Drosophila melanogaster: one gene and its partner. The protein of the gene in region 1 interacts with the protein of each later gene in a pairwise test. Each region holds a gene or a part of one and is shown in the gene's direction. Other genes may lie near its edges.

Region 1 (6,531 bases):
CGGAGATGCACGAGGTGCGAGGAAAGGATAACGTGGGTGCCACCATGGACAGCATGGAGCTGGAAAGGCAGCGGGGCATTACCATTCAATCGGCAGCCACGTACACACTGTGGAAGGACACCAATATCAATATTATCGATACACCCGGGCATGTGGACTTCACCGTGGAGGTGGAGCGCGCACTCCGAGTTCTCGATGGTGCCGTTCTGGTCTTGTGCGCCGTGGGAGGAGTCCAGAGTCAGACCCTGACGGTTAACCGGCAGATGAAGCGCTACAATGTGCCCTGCCTGGCTTTCATCAACAAACTGGATCGCTTGGGGTCGAACCCGTACAGAGTTCTATCCCAGATGAGGTCAAAAATGAACCACAACGCTGCTTTCATTCAGCTGCCCATTGGAGTGGAGAGCAATTGCAAGGGCATCGTGGATTTGGTGCGGGAAAAAGCCATATACTTTGAGGGCGAGCACGGAATGGACATCAGGCTGGACGAAATTCCACAGGATATGCGGGTAGAGAGCCTGGAGAGAAGACAGGAGCTTATCGAACACTTGTCAAATGCAGACGAAACGCTTGGAGAACTTTTCCTGGAAGAGAAGCCCTTTACAGAAGACGATATTAAGGCGGCCTTAAGGAGAACCTGCATCAATAGAACCTTCACACCTGTCTTGGTGGGCACAGCACTGAAGAACAAAGGTGTCCAGCCATTGCTAGATGCAGTACTTGACTACCTGCCCAATCCTGGAGAGGTAGAGAACCTGGGCTTCATCGAGAAGGAAGGACAAGACCCAGAAAAAGTAGTCTTAAATCCCGCCCGCGATGGCAAGGATCCCTTTGTTGGCTTGGCGTTCAAGCTGGAAGCTGGTCGCTTTGGCCAACTAACCTACCTCAGATGCTACCAAGGTGTCCTACGGAAGGGTGACAACATCTTCAATGCCCGCACCAACAAGAAAGTGAGAATTGCTCGCTTGGTTCGATTGCACTCAAATCAAATGGAGGATGTAAACGAGGTGTATGCCGGCGATATATTTGCGCTTTTCGGAGTTGATTGCGCCTCCGGAGACACTTTCACCACCAATCCCAAGAACAATCTGTCTATGGAATCCATCTTTGTACCCGAGCCCGTGGTCTCAATGGCCATTAAGCCAAATAATACCAAGGATAGGGATAATTTCTCGAAGGCTATTGCGAGATTCACCAAAGAGGATCCCACATTCCACTTCTTTTTCGACAACGATGTAAAGGAAACTCTTGTCTCGGGAATGGGTGAACTGCATTTGGAGATCTATGCCCAGAGAATGGAGAGGGAATACGGTTGCCCAGTGACGCTGGGAAAGCCAAAAGTAGCATTTAGGGAAACCCTGGTGGGACCGTGTGAGTTTGATTACCTGCACAAGAAACAATCGGGAGGATCGGGTCAATATGCCAGGATTATTGGAGTCATGGAACCACTACCGCCGAACCAAAACACCCTGCTGGAATTCGTGGACGAAACAGTGGGCACCAATGTACCAAAACAATTTGTTCCTGGAGTCGAAAAGGGTAACTAAAATTACATTCCTCAATGTTCTGATTTTAATATTTTATTTGCTTAGGTTACAGAGAAATGGCTGAGAAGGGAATGCTCTCCGGTCACAAGTTGTCCGGCATTCGATTCCGCCTGCAAGATGGTGGTCACCACATCGTGGACTCCAGCGAGCTCGCCTTCATGTTGGCTGCCCATGGTGCCATCAAAGAGGTCTTCCAGAACGGCAGCTGGCAAATCCTAGAGCCCATTATGCTGGTCGAGGTCACTGCACCCGAGGAATTCCAGGGTGCTGTAATGGGTCACTTGAGCAAACGGCATGGTATCATCACCGGAACTGAGGGAACCGAGGGTTGGTTCACTGTCTACGCGGAGGTACCGCTGAACGACATGTTTGGCTATGCGGGAGAGCTGAGGTAATCTTCAGTACACATTGGAAACGTTGAATTGTATCTAAATATATCTCATCTTTATTTACAGATCGAGTACCCAGGGAAAGGGTGAATTCACCATGGAGTACTCCAGGTACTCGCCTTGTCTCCCAGATGTCCAGGATCAGATCGTCCGGCAATACCAGGAGTCGCAAGGATTGGCCCAACCCGACAAGAAGAAAAAGAAGAACTAGGTTTTAACTTAATCTATTTTTAATTACCATCTCTATCAAATCGAAATGTTATTGTGTCACCCCTATTTTTGCTTAGTTAAATTTTATTTCATACAACAATTTTCAGTTTTCACTGTGATAAATGCGAAGTGTACAGTTATTTGTATAATAAAACAAGATTCAACAAAAATCGGTATACTTAATTAATCACAGCTTGTTGATATCAGTTGAATTTTTCGTCTTATTTTTCTTTGAAAATGAAATATATATATAAATTAATACAAATAACTCATTTATATTTGAAACGCTTTTGTTGGAGGCGCACATACTATTTTGTACCTATATAACACTAGGTACGGAAATAGGTACCGATTGGTACTCCGCGGTACTTAGTCATCTTACCGTTAAACAGGTCGAAAACGAGTATAACAAAAATATCGAATAATAATGTCAGATGCGTTAGGGAATGTGAGTTTCAGGATTTCGCTGACTGGTAACACTAGCCACAAAACTTGTGTACGTTTGTTTGTGTTGTTGTTTTCGCTTGCGTGCGGTTGATCCGCGGACAGTTTTTCCGCAAACTCGCAGAGGAAATGCAAACTGTGGCGAGGTGAAAGGAAAACTGACCACCGAAAGTGCGAAGAAGAACGAAAATTGAAACAACAGCAAGCGACAGCAATTAGCGAATGAATAAGTACGATTTTCCGGAACAATAATAATAGCAACAACAGCAACAACAACAACGGCTGCAGCCACAACAAAAATTTAACTCAATTAACGGAAAAGGCAAACGGGGGAAAATGCAATTGAAATGCCGAGAGCATTTATGAAGTGTGCTGATGTGTTTGCGTAGAAATGGAGCGATTTGTGATTGCAGCGCTTTGCTCGTCTAGTGTTTTCCGCTGCCAGAAAAGTGTGCGCAGGAAAATCGGTGACGATTCGTGAAAAAAGGGGCATAGAAAATTCGGTGAAAATTCAATACAAAAAAAACGCGGAAAACGAAAACACAGGAAAAATTAAAAGAGCGACAAAGAGTGAGAGCGTGCGAGAGCAATAGGGAAATAGAAAATAAATATCTTCGCTGCCTGCGTGTGGGTGTGCGTCAGTGTGTGTGTGTGTGTGTGCAAAAGTAGAAGATCAAAGCGAAACGACGAAAAACAAGCACAGCAACAACAACACACAGCTGACTTCCTTTCTTTCCTTCCTGCATTACACTGTTCAACAAACAATAGTTATAACCGCAAACGATGCGAAATCCAGTAACTACAACAACGACTACTTCCAATCGCCGGCTTTTAAACTAGTCAAAAAATCAAATCAATAACATAAACTACACATATCCGCTAAACGACAAAACCTAAAACGAAAAATAAATTTCAAAACACAAAGTAAACGAATAAACTAAATATAACCAAATTTCCAGTAAACAGAGATAGCTCACAATGGATTGGATCATCAATGATGAGATGGGCCTGACGGTCGGTCACGTGGTGGGCTGGGCCGCCGCCTCCGCAATGGTTATTGGGGGCGTGATCCCCTACGTGCCCCAATACATTGAGATCAAGAAGACGCAGGACGCGGAGGGATTCTCTCTGTACGTGTGCCTGGCGCTGCTGGTGGCCAACTCGCTGAGAATACTCTTCTGGTAAGACTTAACTTGTACGCTAATCAAAAATAACTAAATTTGTAATCGAAAATAGATACTGGAATACTAGATACATAATAGATACCTAGGAAACTAAAACATTACTAGCATCCGTACGAAACTAATTAAATTCATTACCTAATGCTCCATAATGTTAACAAAAGTGCTTAAATGTGAAAGCTCAAAATTTTGCAAGTAATTATGACGATTTCATATCCAAATATGCCATTTTTGAGCAATAAATCAATCATGAAAGGCAAAACGAACTTTTATTGCACGCGCTTATTTTTCTTTTTGACTGTACAGCACTCGAAAATAACACAAATCACTTTTGAACGCTGCGTATTCAAATGAAAATAAACACCTGCAAATTCTCTCTCGTTTTTTTTCTTTTGATTTGGGTTGAGAATACAATTGAAATACATCATAATTCTTTAAAAAAAAAATCTCTAGAAAATTACTGATATGGCACTTCCTTGTCTTTAAAATCTACCTAAAAACTTACTTTAGAAACATGCTATTATATCTACATATATATACAGAAAGATCTCTTTCGCAGTAGTTTCGAATCCTCTGGCACCCCTGCGGTGAAAACGTCAGGTACCTGAACCTCTCTAAGTAAACCCCTGTCCACTTTTATCTCACCCACATTGGGATGACTAAACCCACTCGGCAAATACCTGGTATGGTATTACGGCTTATCTGGGTGGGCAATTCAAACCGCTTATCACGCGAAATTCTCTCATGGTCCGACGCGACAATTTACGGTTTGGAGCACTTGAGACCAAAACCCCTTCCTATCTGTTAGCTATGTCATGATTTCTGGTCGATTTTGCTCACCATAGTCGATAGACGACTTCCACAATTTGGACGAAGGACCAGCGTACTGGTTTTATCTTTATTGTACTCCCAGCGGTATTTAGGTATTCGGCACAATGCACAATGTCGTCGATAATCGCTATTTTCGCTGGGGTTTAGGACACTTGATGGAAGATTTATCAGCTTTCATGCTGAACTAATGTTTTGTGGGATGTTTGATAAGATTGTTACACTCAACTCAATACAAGCGCAACTATAGTTTATAAGAAGTCAAAAAAAACTATTTCGTAATATACGAAATTCAGTCGTTTTTGGGAATATTTAGGTGACTTAAAAATGTTGACAGTCTGAACTTTCGTTTCTGGAATGGTTTCATCCAGCTGCCCTGGATTGTTGATTCATCTTTTTGCAGAGCGAAACATATAAATCAAAATTAATAAAGTAAATTTTTAATTCAATTTGAATGAGTGTGCAAAGTAGCTTTCAAAATGTGACAATGCCATTGAAACCAGTTGAAACTGACACAGAGCCAACAAACAAAAAGATATAATTGAATTTGCGCTATTGTTTATTCAGAACGTATTTTCATATTTAGTTCAAAATATATATTTGCCATATGGAATAAACGGAATAAACGGATTTTTAGGCCAGCTACTTCTCGACTGGCCTTTAACAACAGGGTCAACTACTTTTGTCCAGCTGGTTTCTGTGTATTTTTCAGGTTGTTTAGCCCGTTTAAAGCTGCTGCTATTGTGGTTTTTCGAGACCCATCGCTTCCTACTAATAATTTATTAACAAGCCAAGTGAAACGTGAACGCAAAAACAAAAAAAGAATAGGAGCAACTGGTGGCCCTCATCGACGCCGTCAATTTGTCTGGCCTGGGTGGCAATCAATAAATAAATTATTTAGCTGGAAACTGTTGCCGGCGAGCAAAGTTGAATCAGCTGGGCAACGAGGCTTTGAGCCGAATAATCCCAATACAATATGTATACGTTATATATAGATGTTTACGATTCCTTGTGGCCAGACATTTTTTTTCCAGACACGCGATCAGTTTCAGTTGGGTTTTATGAATAAAGTCAGTCAGTCTGGAGGCTAAGTAATAGTGCAATAGGAATGTTTTGGGGGCTACAACAATGATAGGAAGTAGCTTTTAATTTATGCACGACTTTTTGCTTTCCGTACGCCGTAATTATTATTATTCCGACTGAATAAACCCCCGCAAAAAAAAAAAAAATTTAGTTGAGTGCAACTGGCAATTTGTGTACAACAAAATGCACGAAACACTTCAACTATTAAAAGTTATTTCGTGAATTTACCATAAATTGCACGCAATTACAATTAATTAGTTCACGTGATGGAAATATATTTCACATATGTGATATTCAGAGAAAAAAAAACACTCCCAACAAAGGGAGGCAGATTATGGATAGGAACAAGAAGGAATGACACATCCCGTTGACTTTATTGTAAAAATTGACAACGTGGCTGCCTTTGTTGTTGATCGTAAATATGCATATTAAACACGGAATTAATCATAAAACTCACACCGTGGCACGACTAAAAGTAAATATAATAATTGGAAAAATTTTCTGTGCTTTTTGCATGAGCTCATTGCTTGAAATCATCGCTGAATAATTATTGTAAAATCAAGATTAGAATTGTGGTTTAGATAATGCGAATAGAGTTTACACTTGAGATAAGATATTTGGAATTTTTTTTTCAGCTTTTGGTGTAGGAAGTAAAGTAAAGTTGTTTTTATCTTATCTGTAAAAAAAAAAGTGCAGTCCATTACATACTTCATATACTAAATAAAAATTCTTTGTTTGGCTATATTTTATGAAGTAGTTATTCATTCAACTTTCAGTTAATAAAATATTTTGCGATGTGGGCGTTTTTTCCAGTTTACTAACGAAGCAGATTGCGTATATATATATATA
Region 2 (9,904 bases), on another chromosome or scaffold:
ACTCACTATCCATAGAATGTTAAACAACTATTATTTGTTTACCTTTTAGCTTACATTCAGCGTTGCCAGAGTTCATTTGTAAGCATTAAATATTTCGATTAATCGATGTTTTAAAATATATTTAAAAATTGATGAGTTGTTCAGTACTTCAAACATGTATTGCTTAAGGATGCCTTTAGTAAATTATAAATAGTAGCTCCGTGGGTCCTTCCATGGTGAAGATACATTTTGCACTGGCACGAAATGGAAAAACGATTTCCATGGGCGGAGTTATGACCGCCGTTTTGGACGCCGAATGGCATTGTGTGCCCCAAGTGCCACTAATTACGGGTTTTAGACTAAGCTGCAGCTTGTAAACAACAATCATGAGACAAGAACCCGGATAGTGGAATTGCTGACGGTCAGAGCTGAGGAGCATGTCGAGGACTTCGGATGACATCCGGAAGCACCTGAAAGTGCGGCGCCAGAAGCAGAGGGCCATTTTGGCCATGAGATGGCGCTGTGCCCAGGGAGGATTGGAGTTCGAGCAGCTGGACACCTTCTACGGAGCCATCAGGCCATGTAAGACCACTTTTCCAAACCACTTTCATATGTGTCTAAACATATTACAATGGACAATAGATCTGTGTGTGGCGCAGTTCTTCGGCATTATGCCTTTGTCGAATATCCGGAGTCGCGATCCCCAGGATGTGAAGTTCAAGGTAAGGAGCATTGGCCTGGCAGTCACCGGTCTCTTCCTTTTGCTCGGTGGCATGAAGACCTTGGTCGGTGCCAATATTCTCTTCACAGAGGGTCTGAATGCCAAGAATATCGGTGAGTTTTAGATGGTATGGTAGTGTGATCCCAACTGAAAGCTCAATAGTGGGTTTGGTTTTCCTTATCGTGGGCATGGTCAACTGGCTAAACTTCGTGGGCTTTGCTCGCTCCTGGTCGCACATAATGCTGCCCTGGAGTTCGGTGGACATTCTGATGCTCTTTCCGCCCTACAAACGTGGCAAGCGAAGCCTTCGGTCAAAGGTCAACGTCCTTGCTCTGAGTGTGGTCGTCCTGGCAGTAGGTGAGATTTCTGGGTTATCCTTTCAATGGTTTCCAGAAGAACTTTCTTTCAGGCGACCACATGCTGTACTACGCCTCTGGCTACTGCAGCTATAGCATGCACATCCTGCAGTGCCACACAAACCACTCGCGTATTACCTTTGGACTTTATTTGGAGAAGGAGTTCTCCGACATCATGTTCATCATGCCATTCAATATATTTTCCATGTGCTATGGATTTGTAAGTTAACTATATATATTTTAGTTAGTTAGTTTGAATAATGCTCTCTTTTTTAGTGGCTAAATGGAGCCTTCACCTTTCTGTGGAACTTCATGGACATCTTTATTGTGATGACCAGTATTGGACTGGCGCAAAGGTTTCAACAGTTTGCCGCTCGAGTTGGCGCACTGGAGGGTCGTGTAAAATAATCCAAACTATTTCAATGTATTTCTCTTTTAAATCCCCATCCCATTTAGCATGTTCCCGAAGCCTTGTGGTACGACATTCGGAGGGATCACATTCGCCTTTGCGAGCTGGCCAGTTTGGTGGAGGCCAGCATGTCGAATATAGTGTTCGTATCCTGCGCTAACAATGTGTATGTGATCTGCAACCAGGCGTTGGCTATTTTCACGTGAGTCATCTGTTTGTAGCTACCCCCTAGTCTCATTTCAAATCTTTTTAGCAAACTGCGGCATCCCATAAACTACGTTTACTTCTGGTACTCGCTGATCTTCCTGCTGGCCAGGACGAGTCTGGTTTTCATGACTGCCTCCAAGATCCACGATGCCTCGCTTCTGCCCCTGAGGTCCTTGTACTTGGTGCCCAGCGATGGCTGGACGCAGGAGGTGCAGAGATTTGCCGACCAGCTGACCAGCGAGTTTGTCGGATTGTCTGGATATCGTCTCTTCTGCTTGACAAGAAAGAGTCTCTTCGGAGTGGGTAAACTTCACGAGTCTTCACGATTCCCATACTGATCCCAGCCATCCTCTCCAGATGCTAGCCACCCTGGTGACCTACGAACTTATGCTGCTGCAAATAGATGCTAAGAGCCACAAGGGACTGCGGTGCGCGTAACTAAATGAGTGAACTTTAGTCCAGTTTAACTTAACTGAATGTATAATAAAATAGTCAGATAATCAGATTTGAAAAAGGGTAGATTCCTGCGAGGAAAAGTCAGTTAGCAGCTCATGTGTGAGTTCAGCCAACCCGACTCGGGCGGTTATTAAATGGCCAAAAGGCTTCCAGGATAATTGGCCATTCCGAGTGTCATTTCAATTTCAATTTTTGGCCAGCTGTCATTCAGCGAGGGCGAATCCACAAATGGGAGGGCAACCAAAGTCGCTTGCCATTAGTTTCAATTATTGCTACACATGTAGGCAAACGTAATTTTGAAGGCAACTCGATGAGTTTTGAAAGGAGAAAGGAGTTGGAGTGCACTGAAAAATATGTTCGGAAGCTAAAGTTCTAAATAATAATAATCTTATCTTTACTGCTTACTTCTAAACCCTTTCAAAAGCCACTTGGTGTGCTCTGAACTAAATACCATTTTTTTTTCGAGTGTAAGAAAAGTTAACAGAAACACGAGAAGGCGGCGGAAAAGTCGCTTCGAACAGAAATGGCTTTTCAATTTCAAAACTCGGCCTTTGACACTTTGCCAATTAACACTTTCCTGGTTACCGATTGCCATTTTTGTTTGTGGTGGGCCACCGGCTGCTCCCACCGCCGATCCTTGCCGCTATAGCCGCCGTTGAGGCAATTATCCTGTCAGGAAACTTTCTACGCAGCCGAAGCAGCTAGCAAAACAGAACGCCAGCAAAAACAAAGGTCCTGCAGGTTGGTCACTTGAAAGGAGCGCGCCGGCACCCTCGTTTCCGGAAAAGCAACCCCCGAATGGGTTTTCAGTCGTAGTTTGTTTTGGGCCAAGTGTCATGGCAACCGGAAAAACTGGAGAGCTGGTGTGGAAAATCGGGGAATATTTGGACGCAGAACGTGAGTAACCGCCGAGGAGCGAGGCCATGAGCCACCAGGATGAGCATGGACATACCAGAGACCGTATCCCTGCGCAAGTTCCGCGACTTTTCGGCGCGCCAGAAGCAGGAGCTCTACGAAACGCTCCTCGAACTGGCCGAGTCCATCGATGAGCTGCCTAAGAAGTCGCTGAGGAAAACCCTGGAACTCACCCTGGCCGTTTTGGAGTACAAGGGCGAGCAGGTACAGCAGCTGCAGGAATCAGCAGCCGGAGGACTCTCCTCCGACCGCCGCCTGCAGGATGAGAATGAGAAGCTGAAGCGAATGCTCCAGAAGTTGGAGGACGAACGCGATGGCCTGAAGAGCAAAGCCAAGGAGGTGAGCAGTAGATCATGTAAAGTACCCAAGCTCAAGGATACGCTTTTTTCTCACTAGTTGGGGGAGGAAATCCGTCAGTTGGAGCTGCGCCTGCAGGAGGCGGCGCAGCAGGCGGAAATCAGCGACAAGGATTCATCGGATCCCCTGTCCGAGCTGGACAAGCAGGAGCAGCTGCTGCAGAACATCGACTCCAAGAACAAGCACATCAAGCGGCTGCTAAAGGAAATCGAGGTGAGTCATATTATGTTTTGCATTCAGAATATACTATATTCATTCCCTTTCAGACACTGCAAAACCAAAACATAGCTCAATCGAAGACCATAGTGCTCCACGAGCGGGAGCTGCAGACCATCAAGGCGAATCTCGTGCAATTGAGCCAGGACATCACCAAGGTGGAGCAGGAGCGCAAGTCCTTGAAACAAAAGGAGCAGCAGCAGGCGCTGGAAATCACTCGCCTGGAAGGAAATCTAACTTTCCTGGAGGTGGAGCGCGAGAAGCAGGAGGTGGAAATGCGTCAGTTCCTGGACAAATACGAGGCCAAGTCGCTGGGCTGGAGGCAGGCGCTCGACGATCGGGACAAGGAGGTGGAGCGTCTCAAGAAACAACTGGAGGGCAAAAGCATCAGCTCTGGCCAAACCAATTCTTCCAACAGTCAGAGTCAGCAGGAGGAGGAGCACGCCAAACTACGACAGGTAAGGATGAACTGCCGATATATTTTATCTAGATCTTGAGCTCGCTAAATGTTCATCCCTCGTAGCTTTTGGAATCCCGGGAACAACGCATCGAGAAGCTGGAGGAGAAGATCAAGTCAATGGCGGAGGAGATGGTTAGCTCCACGCGTGCGATGAACCAGTTGTGTCAGGAGAAGGAGCGAGCCCACGATCCCGAGCAGCCGCGAGCCTGCTGCCAGATGATCGAGGAGCGCCTGCGGGAAGCCACCGCCCGGTGTCAGCAGCTCTCGGAGATGCTGGAGGCCGCCGAGCAGGACAACGTGCTCAAGTCCCAGCAGGCCCTGCACGCCATTAGTGCCCTGGAGGCCTACAAGCGTGACGAAGATGGCCTCATTCCCGCTCTGCGACGCTGCTCGGGATTGGAACAGAAGGTGGCAGCACGCGACAAGCAGCTGAGGGCCTACATCCAGGAGCTGAACTCCCTGCACGAGGTGGTCCAGGAGAACGAGCTGCTGCGGCGAAAACTTCACATCCCCGACGATGTGGTCATCATGGCCAAGAACGTCCATTCCAAGCAGCGCAACAAGGACAAGCAGATCGAGCGACTGACCCTCAAGCTGAGGACATCCGAGGAGCTGCGTCTGCAATTGAAGTTGGAAAAGAGTGAACTTAGGCGGAAGCTCTTGGAGTTGCAGCAGGACAGTCCGCAGACCTTGAACGAATCGCTGCAGGCGCCCAGCGAAGTGGGTGAAGTGCCTCATAGTGTGCATCTGGAGAATTCGCCGAGACGTGGCCAAGGCGACGGGGCAGCCAGTTCCGAGATGCAGAATCGATACGACGAAGTCCTGGCCGAAAATGAAACACTACGCTCCGGCATGTACGAGATTCTGGAGAAGCTGCGGGAATATGATGGTGAGATAACCATAACATATTTCTTGAATAACTATATGTATTAAACATTATCCATGTAGCCACCTCAGAGCACATAACCATCGATTCCGATCTCTTGCGCCGCCTCATCGAAGCTCTGCCCGGCGGAACGACCACTCCGCAGCGACTCCAGGGTCAGCTCCTAGAGCTGAAGGCCCGAGAGGAGGCACTGCGTCAGCTGCTCGAGCAGCAGAACTACAGTGACTCCGAGACGGGAGAACTGTCCTCTGTGCATAGTCTGTGCGAGGTTCCCGAGATTGCAGAAGAGCATCCTGTCGAGGAGGATGCTGTGCTGAACACAGCCACCAGGCCAAGCTCGCCCACTGAAGCCACGATGGGATTACGCAGACCCACTGTACCAGATCCCGAGGAGAAACCCACGAACGAGGCCCTGGCTGAGCTCTCCATTCTGCGCAAGCACTACGACGAACTTCGTCTTCATATGTCCGCCGATGGCAGTGATCTGATGAATCGCAACCAAGAGCTCCACGATCAAATGATCGCTTTGGAGTTGCAGTTGGAGCAGCAAAGGAATTCCTACTCCTACATGCGCAGGGATTACGATCAACTGCTGACGGAGACCAGAAAGCAGGAACTTCGCTTCATAGATGATAAGGCGTCTCTAGCCAGGCAGTTGGAGCATAGCAAGAGTGAACTATGTGAAGCTAGAGAGGAGTTGGAGCAAGTGAATCGAAGGAATCTCTACACTGCGGAGGAGCAGCAAAAGTTGGAGCACAGGAATGCCATCTTGAGCATGCAACTTGGCCAGGCGATGGAGCAACTGCTGGGCGAGCTGAAGCCCACGGAAATATGCGCTGAGTACGGTATAATCAGGGAGAACTATCAGCTGGATTACATCACAGCCCAGGACTTCGAGGAGCAGCAACAGGAGCTGCTCACTTGGAGGAGCAAGCAGGCGGAGCTGCAGAGGGAGACCAAGCAGCTGGAAGGACTGCTCCATGTGGCCAATGAGCAGGTTGGAGATTCTCCTTGATACCTACCCATGGGAGATCTAATGCCCATCCTCTTTCCAGATTCACTCCCAGCAAAGGCTGCTCAATGAGATCACCGATAACCACATCAATCTGCGTCACCTGGTGGCCGATCTTCAGAGCAGCTCCGACGAGAAGCTAATGCTGGCCAAGGTCCAGAGGGATCTGGATAGTGGTAAGCACAGACTTATTCGAGGAGAAGATCAGTAGCCAGCATGTCTCTCTTTTTTTTTTTAGTGAAAGCCGAGTGCTCCCGCTTGGAAACAGAGCGAGAAAAACTGCAGCTAAAGGCGGACTGCCTGCAAACCCAACTGGAGGCCAGCGAGTTATCCCTGAAACAGACGCAACAGGACTTCCAGCAGGAGCGCACCAATAGCGATATTAAGCACAAGTGAGACCAAGTGGTGGATAATCCCTAGCAGATCTGACTTTCTACCAAATCCCACAGATTCCTCCAGCATTCATTGTTTATGCTCAAAGATAAATATGCCAAATTCACGCCACTGGTCTTCCTTACCAACTTTGTGTTCGCCTACCAAAAGTTCCAGCGTCGCCTGGAGGAGGAGCAAGTGCAGCAGCGACATAGAGATCACACCGCTCTGATTGATGAAGTGACCGCCGTGGTCCAGGCCAAAATTGGTCTCAACGAGGAGAGTTCCCAGCAGTTGGTGAAGCTCATAAAGTCTGAAACACAGACGAGACTCTTGGAACAGCGCTGCGAGATTCTGCAGGCCAAACAGGAGGAGCTCGTTCGGGAATTGGGTGAGTTGAGGATGAGCCAGGCCACCGACACCGAGCACTGGAGCACCATCCAGGCCTTGTTCGGTGAAGGAGAGCCAAGAAGTCAACTCAAGGTGGATGCAGAGACGAATACCGATGCAGTGGCTCCTAATCTGGCCATGAGAAGGGCCGTCCAGTTGATAGACAGGGAGTCATCGCCCATTGGGTCGCCTCTCCGAAAACATCCGCACCTGGATACAGCCACTCAAACGCTGGAGGCGCAAGTTGAGTTCTCGGAGACGGCAGTCCAAACCAATGGCATTCTCAGCCAGCAGAATCAAGCCGTTCAGACAGCGGATGCAGTGGAGGACAATAGGAGAGATTCCCGCGCGGAGCTACAAAAAATGCAAGAAACGTAAGTTCCCCCAAGTAAAAAATGTAAATAACTATTTGCAACTATAAATGGTGATGCCCAACAGTCTGCAGGAAGCCAACCAGCGCATCGAGATCCTTGGCAAGCAGTTGGAGGCTTCCAGATCGGAGAGTCGCGAGTCCGCCAGTCCGCAAGGTGGTGTGGTGGAGAAGACCATACTCTCGTTCCACACCCTGCTCCTGGAGAAGGACCAGTCCATACAAAAGTACCAGGACCTTCTGCAAACCGAGAGGGATCAGAGTCAGCAAGCACTTAGCAAACAGGTGGCTGAAAACGAATCCCTGAGGGCCACGGTTAACAACCTGAACTTCAACATCAAGACGAAGGATGCAGAGATTCAGGGCCTTAAGGAGAAGCTGAGACAGAAACCCGAGGTCCCCGTGGAGCGCAACCCGTCGACGGATTCGAGGTCCAGTTCCAGTTCCGATAGCTCGGTCAACGAGCTGACGGATGAGAAGATCGAGGAGCTCTTCGAAAGCAGCTCAGTGGAGAGACCACCCCAAGAAGAGTTGGAAGTGCCAGTGGAAGCAGGTCCAGAGAACATAGTTACCGAAGAGCCCGAAGGTGAGGAGGAGAAGCAGGACACCGAGGAGCTGAAGGAAGTGCCGACGCTGCACAAGCAAATCAAGGATCTCAAGGACAAGCTGGAGTACAGCGAAAGGAGCCTCAAGACGAGGGAAGAGGAAGTGGATATACTAAAGGAGAAGTAAGTTGTAAAGTAAGTAGTTGTGCATGATCTTAATCCGTTACATTCGACAGGTTGAAGCTGTGCCAGGAGCGGGAGAAGTCGGTCGAAAGCACCGTGAATCCCGAACTGGATCAGCTACGCATCTTTCTGGATGAGAAGGACAAGCACATCAAGGATCTGATGGATACACTCAAGAACTTCCACGTAATGCCCAGCAATACCATCATATTCATCTCTACTATTAAAAGTTTTAAACATGCAGGACGACCAGCAGCGCTACATCAAAGACACCTCGAACTTCTCGGAGGACCAGATAGCCAAGCTGGCTGCCGATCTCAACCGCACCGAGGCCACCAACAAGATCTATCACACCCAAATGGAGGCACTTCGCCGCCAGCTGGCCAACGTCACCCAGCGCGAAAAGCAGGCCAGGGATCTCAGCCAGTCGCTGCGCCAGCAGCTACTCAAACGCCCTGTGGTCTCCATTAAAACGGAACTGAATGCCCGGGTTAAGAACGAGAACCAGCTGAAGAGAATCCAGCAGCTGGAATTGGACTTGGACGAGGCACGTGGCCAGCTGCAGCGACAGCAGACGCTCCTGGAGGCCAAGCGCACGAGGAGTGCCAATGAGGTGCAGCTCTGGGAGAAGCAGAAGCGGTACCAACAGCAGGCGGAGAAGACCAAGGCCCGGCTGGAGGAGACCGAGCTGGCGCTGGAGAAGACCCGTGCCCTTCTCCAGGCAGCGCGCACCACAATAGCGCGCTTGGAAAAGGACAAGCAAATCCTGGAGTCCAAGCTGGGCAGGAACGGTCCGCCGAGCAACAGCTCCGGTGGCAATAACCTCAAGTGCTGCCGCACTCCATCCTGTCCGAATCTCCAGCACGTGGGTGTCAGCAAGTTCGCTCCATCGCCTTCGGAGAGTCCGGAGACCTACACGGGTCCCAGCAGCGAGTGCAGCTCTCCGGCGCATCATCACACCCAGATCTTTGACCAGAGTCAGTTGGACCTTATTGAGGCGCTCAAGTCGCGCATTGAGCTGCAGCAGCGCAAGATCATCGCCATGGAACTGGAGGGCAGGGGCAGCAATGCCCTGACCACGGAGCTGGAAAAATTGCAAGAGCGCTGCCAGGCCATCGAGGCGCAGAACATCCGACTGGAGGCCAGGAACCTTCAGCTGCAGCTCGACTCGGATCTCTTGAGGCAGGGCGACAGCAGCGATCGGCTGCAGAAGCGAATCAAGCACTTGGAGGAGTGAGTAGAGAGCGGCAGTTTCCACGCGTGTGAATCGAGACTTATGCACCACCCCCATTTTTCAGCTACATCATGGCCCTGAAGGAGGAGATGGCTCGCAACGAATCCCGTCGAGAGTTGGGCAGTGGCCTCAAGGTGAGCACAAATCAGGGCCAATCGGCGGAGCAGACGATCCTCTCGCTGCGCAATCTCGTGGAGAAGTTGCGATCGGAGAACAAGTTCCTGAAGGATGGTCGACGATCCACGGAGTCGCGCAGCTCCATGGACTCCACGCCTGCAGAGGCGGCACGTCTGCAGCAGCAGCATGCAGAGGCGCTGGAGAAAATCAGTGCTCTGCAGCAGGAGTTGCAGAAGCGAACCACCAAGTGCAGCCAATGCGGGGGACGCAGCAAGGTAGGTACCGCTCGTAATAATACACCTTCGGCAATAATTGTGTTTGAAATTTAAAAAAAAAAGGACGCTGCCAACGAGGAGCTCAAGTTCATCAAGGAGCAGTTGGTGAAAAAGACGCAGCTGCTGCAGAAGGCAAAAGTACTTCTGACCCGTGCTGCCGCCAAGGAAAAAGTCCTGAGGGAACAGCTGGCCTTGTGGAAACGCAAGTGCTCCGAACTGCAAAATGTGCCCGTGATCGATGAAATCAGCGAGTAACCAGTATTGATCATAAGATGAATGTTGTACAGGAAAAAAGAGGAATAAAACTAAAGTTTTTTTCACTGCTGCTGTTTTGAATTTGGCGCCCAATGCAGAGTTGCCAGATCGAGGTGGGCTAAAATCGTTGGGGATGTGAAAGTTACGGGATTCCCCCGAATTTTGTTTTACAGGATATTTAAATTTATT

The links.
Region 2: the proteins of CG13784 (region 1) and Cep290 interact in a two-hybrid assay, tested with the Drosophila melanogaster proteins (one large-scale study listed by BioGRID).

The regions. Positions count from the first base shown.
Region 1 is NT_033779.5:7,216,149-7,222,679, reverse strand, and holds the start of CG13784 (uncharacterized protein), read left to right. Parts: upstream 1-2,646; 5' UTR 2,647-2,820; exon of another isoform or gene 2,821-3,549; 5' UTR 3,550-3,568; coding exon 3,569-3,771; intron 3,772-3,826; coding exon of another isoform or gene 3,827-3,827; exon of another isoform or gene 3,828-4,029; intron 4,030-6,531. Other genes in the region: mEFG1 (mitochondrial translation elongation factor G 1), read left to right, coding at 1-1,539, 1,593-1,938, 2,003-2,147.
Region 2 is NT_037436.4:841,302-851,205, forward strand, and holds Cep290 (centrosomal protein 290kDa), read left to right. Parts: upstream 1-2,624; 5' UTR 2,625-3,064; coding exon 3,065-3,382; intron 3,383-3,439; coding exon 3,440-3,613; intron 3,614-3,666; coding exon 3,667-4,074; intron 4,075-4,139; coding exon 4,140-4,965; intron 4,966-5,024; coding exon 5,025-5,959; intron 5,960-6,017; coding exon 6,018-6,150; intron 6,151-6,212; coding exon 6,213-6,366; intron 6,367-6,423; coding exon 6,424-7,110; intron 7,111-7,174; coding exon 7,175-7,834; intron 7,835-7,887; coding exon 7,888-8,020; intron 8,021-8,078; coding exon 8,079-9,067; intron 9,068-9,132; coding exon 9,133-9,460; intron 9,461-9,523; coding exon 9,524-9,715; 3' UTR 9,716-9,779; downstream 9,780-9,904. Other genes in the region: JMJD5 (jumonji domain containing 5), read right to left, coding at 1-13; Gr61a (gustatory receptor 61a), read left to right, coding at 417-561, 622-813, 863-1,057, 1,110-1,276, 1,333-1,455, 1,513-1,667, 1,719-1,971, 2,030-2,110. UniProt on the Drosophila melanogaster protein: Essential for ciliogenesis in sensory neurons and spermatocytes.